3 linked regions of the Caenorhabditis elegans genome follow. The protein of the gene in region 1 purifies or fractionates together with the protein of each later gene. This does not show direct contact. Each region holds a gene or a part of one and is shown on either strand. Other genes may lie near its edges.

Region 1 (3,756 bases):
ATTCTCTCAATATAAATGCAACAAGAATCAATAGAAAAAACAGGAAACCGTTGTGGGAATGGGTATCTTTGTTAGGGGGAACTATAATACAATCTCATGGCACATGGAATTCACTTTGGGTCTTGGCAACGAAGTGTCGTTGCAAAATAAAAAAAATATAAGTTACTTAGTATTTCCATCCTTAACATTATCATAGAACAAGTTGCCTCTCTTTGTCTGTTCCAATTCAATAGACTCGAAAAGAGCCTTAAAGTTACCGGCTCCGAATCCTTCATGATTCTGTCGCTGAATAATCTCCAAGAATAGTGTCGGACGGTCCTGGCATGGCTTACTGAAGATTTGGAGCAAATACCCATTCTCATCGAAATCCACCAAAATGTGCAACTTCTGAAGACGATCCATATCCTCCTTAACTACCATTGAAGAAGCCGCGAGACGTTCCTTGAGGTTATCGTAGTAGCTTGATGGAATGGAAAGGAATTCACAGCCACGGGCTCGAAGAGCTTCAATTGCAGTAATGATGTCGGATGTGTTGAGTGCGATGTGTTGAACACCGGATCCTCCGTAATAATCCACGTATTCCTGGATTTGGGAGATTGCCTTTTTGTCCGATGTGGCTGGCTCGTTGATTGGCATCTGCAAAATTTTTGTATTAAAAGTTTAAGCATTTTCTATGTTATTCAGTGTTTTTCAGAAAATAATTTAAATTATTTTGTCAATTTTCTGGAGAGCCAGAAAAAAAAACACAATTATTTGAAAATTCAATTATTTTCCCAAAAATCGAATATTTAAAACATTCGTCGTATTCAAATTAAAAAATGGTTTCTGAAATAGATGTTGAAAATGTTTAGATACTCAGTATTCCATATTCAAAATGCCCTGGAGGACTACACGAAAATTACAATTATTCATTTCCCACGTAGAGTACACAATTGTTCCACAAGAAAAAAAAATTAAAACCCGCGATATGTCGGCTGCTGTTATTTTTCTATTGATTATAAAGACTAACTAGCAACCGACATCTCATAGGACACCGTATTTACCAAATCGATATCTTGATTTTTTTTTGTTGAAAATTACTAATATGTATTTTCCACAAGAAATCTTGCTATAATTTTTTGAATTAAAAAAGGTCGTGCGTCTTTTTAAAACCCGCGATTTGTCGGCTGCTGTTTCTTTACAATAAAAACTAGCAGCCGACATCTCACAGGACAGCCGCACTCCATCGATCTCTTTATATTAACTAACCTTAATAGTCTCCTCGAAATTCGTTACAACAATGGAACGAAGAGCCGAGTACTCGGTATGAATCATGGAATCATCAACAGACCAGAATCGATGGAATTTCAGCACCTTCTCGTACCACTGAACAGCTGAGTCCATTTGCAAGTCTGGCTGATTACCGACACAATGATCGAGGAAGTTCAATCCAACGCGTGGAAGAGTCTTGAAGAATGTGGCTGGCATTGGATGAGCCTTGAAGCCGGGCAGGAATGCTCCACGATAATTTTTACGTTCCAGCAAGGTGTGGTCGGTTTCTCCATACTAAAAATAATATTTCATTGTTTGGATTATTAGAAATTTGCATTTCTCGTCAAAATTTTTTCTCAAAAATTTTTTAATTCCACCAAATTTTCCTGGTCAATCTTCAGTGCAATTTAACAACTTCGGAATTTTTGAAGATATTTTTATTTTTAAGTCTCTTACCGTTCTAAGCGTAGCATATCGAATGGATCCATCAGCATCTGACTCTTCAGTAATATCATGCACAATAGTTGCTCCTGCAGCTTTTGCGTGTGCAATAATCGAATCAAGATCCTCAACCTCAAAGCACACATCCTTAACTCCATCTCCATGTTGAACAAGGTGATTTCCGAGTTCTGAATTATCAGGCAACAATGCTGACTCGAAAATGAACACGATTTTGTCTTGTCGAATAGCGTGTTGAGCAGTAATTCTAGATCCTGTCTCGAGCCCCTTATAGGCAAATGGCTCAAAGCCAAAGTTTGCACAATACCAGTAGGCAGCTTGTTTAGCATTTCCGACTACAAATCTAACATGGTCGAATGCAACAAAAGTGCCGATATCTGGTTTTGCTCCTTTGTCGAATGTAGTCATTTTGATTGAAGTTTTGAGTTTTCTGGAATTTATAGAGTTTAAGGATAAAAAAGGAAGAAAAAAGTCCAGGGGGGTGGGCAGCAATTGCAGTTCGGCAAATTTTTTTTTCGAAAAAATTCGGCAAATTGTCGGTTTGTGGACTTGCCGGAAACTTTGATTTTTGACAAATTGCCGAATAACAATTTGCCTGAAGTTTTTAAAGGGATGTTTTATAAGACGGAAACTAAGCCTTTTTGGAAATTTTTTGCCCGTTTTTTCGAAATCTTTTCATGGAAATTTTTTGCTTTTTAAAATAGATGTAGGAGCATTCATAGGATACGTACAATTATGCAGAATTAAATTGATAATCTTTGCCGATTTAAAAATGATAAAATTGATAATCTAAAATTTCCAAAAAAAAAATGTGCACAGCCACAATTTGCCGAAAATATTCCGTAATTACCATTTTTGCGGCAAATTAGCAATTTGCTGTTTTGACGGAAGTTCTAAATTCTGTCAAATTGCCGGTTTGCCGAAAATTTCCATTCCGGCAATTCAATTTTTGTTCAAATGTTCTATATAAAAACATCAACTTGAGTTACAGATAATTGCAGATTTAATGTTAAAAAAATTGGCCCGCAAGTCGTCTGCCGCTTAATGAACGGAAAAAATACACCACATCTTGTTAGTAAACGTTTTGAAATTTAAACTCTTTCTGGAAAATCCCTTAACCGGCATTGTATGTCTTGAAAATTGGGGTGGCATAAGGGTTGTCTAAAAACAATATCGAAATAAAATTTTTTTGGAAATATTTTAAAACTAGGTAAATATAGTTTACAAATAGTACTGTATAGTAACAAATGTAACATAAAAGCTTTAAAACTATGTAGCATATGAAAAAATTCATTTGACAAAGCTTTGTAGTTTAAAATTTATAAATATCTACAATATGAACCGAGATACAACTCGCCAAAATGAAAGAGAGAAAGAAGAAGAAAAAACTGTAAACAACATCTGAGTGCTAGTAGACTATAGTGGCACTGTGTTACTGCACATAATGCAAGTGCCGACTTTTATAGCACCCTCACGCAAAATTCGGATCGTCACGAATTTCGTCGTCGTCGACAAACTGAAATGAGTCGACGTCGAAAGGGGCGGGCTGGGGGCGGGGGAAGTTGGACACGTGACATTGAGGAGACCACAAATAGTGATGCAATGTGGTCAAAAGAAACTGATAACGCACGTGGGTCGGCATCGTTTCGTTGAAAGATGCTGCTGCTGTGGAGACCCTAATTTGGCGACGAAACTCTTTGAAGATCGGAAGATGCTTGAGGGGAGGGGTGAGAAGAATGGTGAGGTGTCATGGGAGTTTGTAGTCGGAATATAGATGTATAGTATTTTGGTATATGATCTTATCAATGAGATCGAGTAGATCAAATCACACGGACTAACTGTTCAACGTTCTTCAAATTTGCGGGAAGTTCAAATTTTAAAGAAATTTTTTTGGCGGGAAATTCAAATTTTTTGAAAAATAATTTTCAGCGGGAAAAAATTTTTGAGAACAATTTTCGGCAGAAAAACTTAAATTTTCTGAGGTAAAAATTTGGCACGAAATTCAAATTTCTGATAAAAATATTTTTGGCGGAAAATTCAAACTTT
Region 2 (3,756 bases), on another chromosome or scaffold:
GATAGTTAAAACAAGGCTCTAGCTCAATGCTATAGTATTTATGACTTGTATTGATACTAAGTAGCTCTACAGTACTCCTACGGGATAAGATGTATTCGTAGTTGCCTTGCCGCGAAAAAAGCTTTTCAAGCGCAAACTTCATGAGTTTAGCGTAAGATACTTGACGTTTGTTTGAAGTTAAAGTATAATTCTCTAAAACTATCATTTTGTGAGTATAAAACCTACCAAGGAAAGTGGTAATGAAGACGCTGATGGAAGCAAAAGCGATGAAGAAACTTTGACGATTGAGAGAAACCAAAGGCGTCGGAAGAATTCCATTGTCGAACAACAAAGCAAACATGAATGGTGGAAGGAAAATAGTTGTTGGAGCAAGTGAAAGCATACGTGGACCAAAAAGATATCCACTGAAGATTCCGAAGAATAGAGTTGAGGAGAATAGAATACTACGTCTTTCAGTGTCATCCAAACTGGAATTCTTGCGAATACTGTAGTAGATGTAAACTGGCAATGCAGCAAGGATCAGAGAAACGACAGAAGTATCGAAGACGTATTGAATAAGTGGAGTCAATGCATATGCACCGGAGAGTTGACCTCCAGCCAAACCAATCAAAATGACCTGAAGTATATTATAATGTAGACAAAATAATAAAGAGTAAAACTCACTGAGATTCCAAGATACATCTCAACCAAGCTATTCTTCGTCTCTGTATCAATCACTTCCAATGGACTATTCTCTGCCAGTGACTGATTCACATAGTCTCGAGCATCATAAGCAGCTGGCTCAGCGACTTCTTTCAAACGTTCTGCAGCTTTCTCCACTTTTCGTCCTGTAATGTTTACACTCTCAATTTTTAATTAATTTGTGTAATTCAATGAAGAACTACCAGCAGAGACAAATTGAGTAACTAACCCAAATAAAAAATTCCATCGTAATATGCAATGACACGACGACGCAGCGTTTCAATGGTAGTCGTGAACTGTTCCACATATCTTTCAGAGATCTCCGTCATTGCTTTTTGTTTCTTCAACACTCAATCAAGACGCACTTCTTCGATTTTCAGCTGAAATTGTAAATTCGAGGAATGAGGAAGCACAGAAAAACTAACTAACCGCGACGCTACTGATGAAAAGTAATGAGCAAAGTCATCTCCTCATCTCCACGTGGAATGATTATTTAATTTTACATCAAAATCGTGGTTCACGTTTTAAAACAAAGATTATTTATTGTTAACACATGGAAATTAAGAAACATGTTTTTTAAATTAAAAACAGAGTTTAAAAATATTTTTGGAATTAATAATTAATGAGTCAAATCTTAATTGTTGCCCTGAATTTCCTGTAAACTTGATATCCCGCCACGATCTAACTGCTGTCGTCTGCAATTAGAGATTACGGTAGGTTATAAAATGATCGTTGCTGCGAAACACCAGACACAGGACCTTTCTTTGTAAAAGTGCAAATAGATGTGGGGTTCATTTTTATAATTTTTAAAGTTGTGCTTTTGCTTGACTACGTTATTATCGTTCTGATTTGTGTTTTAAAAATAAAGTACGTTATAAATTAATAATTTTTTATCAGTTTTGCTCAATCCTTTTCATTTAATTTTATCGGATTAGTATAGTATAGATAATTATACATCTTGTTATTAGTGTAGAGAAAATTAATATAAATATAGGTTCCAATTGCGAAAACCTGATCCTTCGTGTTGAACGGGTCTCGGTGTTATTTCTTTTTTAGAATTGCCTGATGACGTATCGTAATATTGTTTGACCTCCGCGCAGAGATATTCTCAAGAGAGTATACAACAACGACAATAATCTTATCAACTCCTCTCCAGTCAATTACCGTTTTTGACATGGTATGGAACAAAACACGTGACTATTTAACATTGTTATACCATGACGATTTCGTTGAAACGGTCATCTGAATGGGCAGAGACGCAGTCAATTGATAGAAGAGATAGTACTATCTAATTGTGAGACATAGACATTTAGATAAGGTTTTGCACGAAACACCTACAAACAACCGTATTAGGTATTCTGTTCCTGTCCGATTGACTACTTTTTCTGTAAGGCAGAATTTCGAAACTAGAAATGTCGGAATTCGATGAGGTGAGCATTTTTCTTGATTTTGGAAAAATCCTTCCCCTATCTCGCTTGTCAATTTGGTTTTAACCCAGTTAACCAAGGTTAGAATGGATTCCGACCATTCGAAAGAGTGTGTTGAATAACAATAATTTTTGGAACAGCTTATTCAGGGTTATCCGCAAAAGATAAGAATATAATTCACCAGTAACTGTGGCTCCCGATAAAGAGAAAAACTCAAGGGGTAATTCGATTACACGTTAAGGAATATTATAAGAAGAAGTGTCCATTGTTGAAATACATCTAGAATTGAGTTACTTCTCTTGAATAACATCGTTGTCTCGTTTCTTTCATAAGGTTTTCGAGTCTGAACTTATTCTTTCTTTTGCCCCTTCCATCTTTTTCTTTTCTCTTTCTTCCGCTTTGTCCTTTTTTCTAAATACGTCATCACCACCTCCTGCTCTCAAACAAAGTTTTCTTTCTTTTTCTGTTTATAGCATTTTTATAAAAATATTTTTAACTTACGAGGACAAATTAGAATCCTCGTACCAAGTTGTCAAAGCTGTTCTCATGAAATTATAGAATATTTCAGAAGTTATATTCCACCTGCTTCCAAAGTTTTTGTCTACCTTTTTCTCATTGTGCCTTTACTAATCTAGTAGTTTAGAAGTGGATTGCGTATGTAATTTGAATCGAATTTCTGTGCTCATTTCTCATTTGATCCATTGAAACTCCCTTCGAAAAAAGAAATTTGATTCCAATTTCGCCGTCGTAGGAAGCTTTTTTACTACTCGCATATTTATTTTTCAGTTCTTCAGACAAATAGGCGCTTTTAATTTTAAAAATTGATTTCTGGTGAGCAGACGTGTCGGGTTTTTGAGTTGAAACTTTGATGATCTGGCAATATTGAAAATAGGGGAAACTCTGTGACGACCAAATATTATAGTACAACTTTTCAACTTTTCGATGGAAAAAGTGAAAGCCGAAAACAATAAAATTTGGAAAGTATCTGATAGATCCGTGCGATTCAAAATCATATTTTGGAAATTGATAAAAATTGTCTTCTATAAATTTTAAATGTCACTTTTGTTGTTTTTATTCAAGCAGTGAATAAATTTAAACATTAAACATTGTTTGAATTGAAATTATTTCCAAATTTGGAAACTTGCCAAAACTTTAACTGAAATTGCTCAAAAATCTTAAACCTTTCAGCATATATATAATAGACCAGCCGTGGACCGCACCTCCGGCGCGGCCCCCGACTTCTGGGGCTCAAAACTAACTTTTTCTGAAACTACCGTAACCCTACAGTATTCCTACGGTACCACTATTGTACCACTACAGTACCCCGGCTATATCCCTACACTAACCCCAACTCACTATCCCTCCATAAGCTAAAACTTCACAGACTACAAAGACTACATAGACTACAAACTATGGACAAACGGAATAAGCGCTTTATATTTAGTAAATGATATTTGCTTTCTGATCCATTTCGAGCAAAGTTTTACAAAAAAACATTTCCAAAAATGAGGATTCATAATTCTTTCGACCACCTACACATTACATTTTTCTTCAAATGTGGCGCCAAAGGATCATGAGAGTTAACCTCTAAAAATTGATGAATATATTTGTTATTTCGCCTTCAGTTTTTTCATTTATTTTTCTCATA
Region 3 (3,756 bases), on another chromosome or scaffold:
TTTTTTGACGGGTTAAACCTAGATTTTCTGAATTCAGCATATATGAATTACCTATTTTCAACAAATTTAGACAACTTTTTATTTTTGCCCAATTTTTTTGTTCCAGTTTTCGCAACAATTTACCAAACCTTAAAATTTGTTATCAAAAGTGATAATTGTTGCGGTTTTCTTTTGATCTCTTATCACTGTTCATATTATTTCCCATACTTTATTATTCTGTTTTTTTTTTAATTTTAAATTTCATATTTCCATGAAAAATCATTCATTATTCAATCTACACCTATCTGAATGTTCGGTCGTTTTCGCAAATATGCCACGTATCGATTGATTTCTCTATTCTACGTGTATGTGATGGCTCTTTACTCATTGCAAGTTGATGATGACCTCGATGATAAGGATAAGGATAATTAATTTCGAAAAAAAAAAGTTTTCTTTTTTTGAATAAAGCTAATTTTTTACTTTTTTATGAATCAGTACTAAAAAAAATCTGGAAAATTATGGCCCAAATCAAGAAATTTCCAAAAATTAACGTCTCCGGAAACTTGTTTCTCTTGTTAGGCTCCGCCCATTTTTTAGGCCAAAATTTGAATAAAAAATTGTCAAAAAAAATTTGCCGCGAAGATCATTATTTATATATTAAAAAATATTATGAATTGATACTGGTATAGGGTTAGTATGGGGATATGGTCAGTGTACTGTAGTAGTACTGTAGGGGTACTGTATGAGTACTGTAGGATTACTGTAGTTTTGGAAAAATTGACTTTTTGTCTTTTGAAGAGATATTGGTTTGAGGTTAGTAGGGGGTATAGCCGGGGTACTGTAGTAGTACTGTAGGGGGTGCTGTAGGAGTACTGTAGTTTAAGAAAAAATTTAGTTTTTTTTTTTCAAATTCAAATTTAATGGGAAAATTTTTTGGTGGGAATTAAAATCTTCTGTGATAAAATTTTGGCTGAAATTCAAATTTTCTGAGAAAAAAAACAACTTTTTTAGAAAAATCTGGAAACTTCTAGAATTTTCTAAAAATTGAATTATAATTTTTCAGACCAAACTGGCGACTAGAGTGGCGACTAGACTGAAAATTTTTCAGAGCGACTTTTTTGCAGCTCAAAGCTGTGCTCCCACTTGGTTTCAGTCCGTCAATACGGTTTGATCTACAAAAAATGCGGGAATTTTTTTGCCCAAAAAAATGTGACGTCACTCTTAACCATGCAAAATCAGTTGAGAACTCTGCGTCTCTTCTCCCGCATTTTTTGTAGATCTACGTAGATCAAACCGAAATGGGACACTCTGCCACTGATTTTTTTTGCACCAGGGGCCTATTTAGAATGGGGTTTTTTTTCAAACGAATTAGGTTTTATTTAGAAGTCTGGAACTTAGTTAAAATATATTTTATTTGGCCCTTGTAAGTTTAAGTTTTTCAGAATTTTCAGAACTTTTTGAAAGAATTTTGGCGCGCGAAACTTGAATGCTGTGGTTTTTCATGCTACGTGGCTGCAAAACTTCTATTGTCGCAGATAGAGTATACAATCAATGTCCTGGATCTATCTCGATTTCATTCGCATGTCTCTCTGCGGCTCTCATCTACCAATACTCTCTCACTTCTATCTGTTCGTTGCGATCTCTGCGCTGCCGTCCTTGACCGCGATATGTCATACAGAAACTGTATTCATTCTCGACTTTCTATTTTTTTTTGTTTTGGAGAATTTATGTTCATCTTAAAATTAATTTGGTTTTTGAACATATTGAGGAAACGGTTTTTTGAAAAATAATTTGCTTTTTTTAAAAATTTTTTTCCCAAAACACATTTTAAAAAATTAATTTTAAAAAATTTCTTTGACAAGCGACACGCGGTTCTGGCTTCCCTCATAAATTGAAATGGAAGAATTTGCCGAACTAGGCCAGGCCATATCCGGGGTAGATTTACGGCGCGTTGCGTGTCGCGTCGCGGCTTGATTTCAGTTGTAAAACTAAATGTATTCGTTCGTGTGGAGTGCACGACTTTCCCAGTCCGGCAGGCAATTGTCAATGGAGCGGGAAAAATTTAATGAGGAAGGCCAGAACCCCGTGAAGCGACACTCCGTTGCTAGGCGTTGCAGATTTTTTGTTAAACCTTCGAAATTTCAGTGAAAAATGACCGTTTTGATTACCGGCGGGATTTCAAAAATATCTACTCAACTTGCGGAGGCGGTGCTAAAAAACGGAAGAAATGTGGTTCTTCTGCACAATAATGAGGCGGTAAGTGGTGGCCTACAAAATTTTCGAAAATTAATTTTTAATTATCGAGTAGTATAGGATTTTCCAGCTGGCCGAGAAATCCTTGTAATGGCCTTAAAAGTTTAACGTTCCTATTCCGGCAATTGGTAATTTCGGCAAATTTGCCCAAATTTGTCCAAATTGCCGGAATTGCCGGAATTGCATTTTTAGGCTCCTAAATCTACAAAAAGTATGAAATTTTTATTTCCGGCAATTCTGGCGATTGCAGGTTCTCAAATTTTTCAGCAATCGGCAATTTTGGCAATTGCCGGTTTTTTGAATTTTCGGCAATTACCGAAATTGCCGAACAGCGAAAATGGTTCCCATTGAAAATGCTAGAGTGGCCTAGAAATTCTCAGGTGGCCGAGAAATTTCATGATGGCCTAATTATTTCAAATTTCTCTTCCAGATTCCAACAAATCTGATCAATAATCCATCGCTCACACTTATCAATTTATCATCAATCAACGAGGAAGCAATCAAAAATCTAATCGAAAATTACAAAATCCAAACAATTTTCGACGCATCTCTCACCACAACTGATGTGCTCTTGGAGCCAATTCAAGGAGCTAAGAAATTGATTCTGGTAAGGTTTTAGTAAACATGCTCTATTGGCAAACATTGGGTGTACTCCACGTGAAAATAGAGAAATTTCGAATTTCGTAAAGTCAGAAATTAAAAAAAAAATCCAGAAAACTCCTGGGAAGTCAGAAATTATCAGAAAATTTGGAATATTTTTTTGAAAAATAAAATAAAAATTCCAGAAGTCCACGTGGTGTCAGGCTGTCCCATCACGGTTTGATCTACAATAAATGCGGGATTTTTCCCCCAAAAATATGTGACGTCAGCACGTTCTAAACCATCTGCGTCTCTTCTCCCGCATTTTTTGTAGATCTACGTAGATCAAGCCAAAATGAGACACTCTGACACCACCTGAAAGTCCGAAATTTCTAGAAAATGTTGAATGCTTTAAAAAAAATCAGAAAATTCCAGAGGTTTCTTTAAAAAAAAGGTTGAGAAAAATTGAAAAATTTATATCTTTTCTAAAATTCTAAAAAAAATACAAAAAAATATTTTAAAAATAAATCAACATTTCCAAAAATCTTTGAACAATTTAGAAAATTCACGAAATTGCAGAAATTTTCAGAAATTTCAAATTTTTTTGAAAAATTTCCGTAAAAGCACGCGCGCTCAGTTGACAAACCCCTAGAATTAAAAAAAAATCAATATTTTTTTCAGGGAATCACGTCAATCCTCGATGCAATCCGTAAATCCGCATCCCCACCATCTCTGGTTCTCATTAGTGGTGACGAGGTGTACGGTAGGGCGAAGAATCGTGTCGAGACCCAACCTCTAGAGCCGGTCACATTCATCGGCTCAGCTCAAATGTCCGTTGAAGCAATGGCTCACAGCTATGCTGTCAGTTATCGTATTCCAATGGTCATCGGAAGGGTATCCGATGATTTATCGATTTCTGACGCGACACGTGGATTATTGGCAATT

The links.
Region 2: the proteins of hpd-1 (region 1) and hgo-1 fractionate together in Caenorhabditis elegans (co-fractionation; one large-scale study listed by BioGRID). This does not show direct contact.
Region 3: the proteins of hpd-1 (region 1) and rml-5 fractionate together in Caenorhabditis elegans (co-fractionation; one large-scale study listed by BioGRID). This does not show direct contact.

What each region holds. Positions count from the first base shown.
Region 1 is NC_003281.10:10,533,910-10,537,665, reverse strand, and holds the start of hpd-1 (4-hydroxyphenylpyruvate dioxygenase), read right to left. Parts: upstream 2,141-3,756; 5' UTR 2,119-2,140; coding exon 1,708-2,118; intron 1,546-1,707; coding exon 1,249-1,545; intron 637-1,248; coding exon 163-636; 3' UTR 1-162. UniProt on the Caenorhabditis elegans protein: Key enzyme in the degradation of tyrosine.
Region 2 is NC_003279.8:9,053,673-9,057,428, reverse strand, and holds the start of hgo-1 (Homogentisate 1,2-dioxygenase), read left to right. Parts: upstream 1-2,036; 5' UTR 2,037-2,093; coding exon 2,094-2,111; intron 2,112-2,166; exon of another isoform or gene 2,167-2,280; intron 2,281-3,756. Other genes in the region: spe-46 (uncharacterized protein), read right to left, coding at 226-616, 664-827, 911-1,010. UniProt on the Caenorhabditis elegans protein: Plays a role in the tyrosine degradation pathway.
Region 3 is NC_003279.8:1,791,130-1,794,885, forward strand, and holds the start of rml-5 (NAD(P)-binding domain-containing protein), read left to right. Parts: upstream 1-2,124; 5' UTR 2,125-2,130; coding exon 2,131-2,235; intron 2,236-2,662; coding exon 2,663-2,839; intron 2,840-3,492; coding exon 3,493-3,756.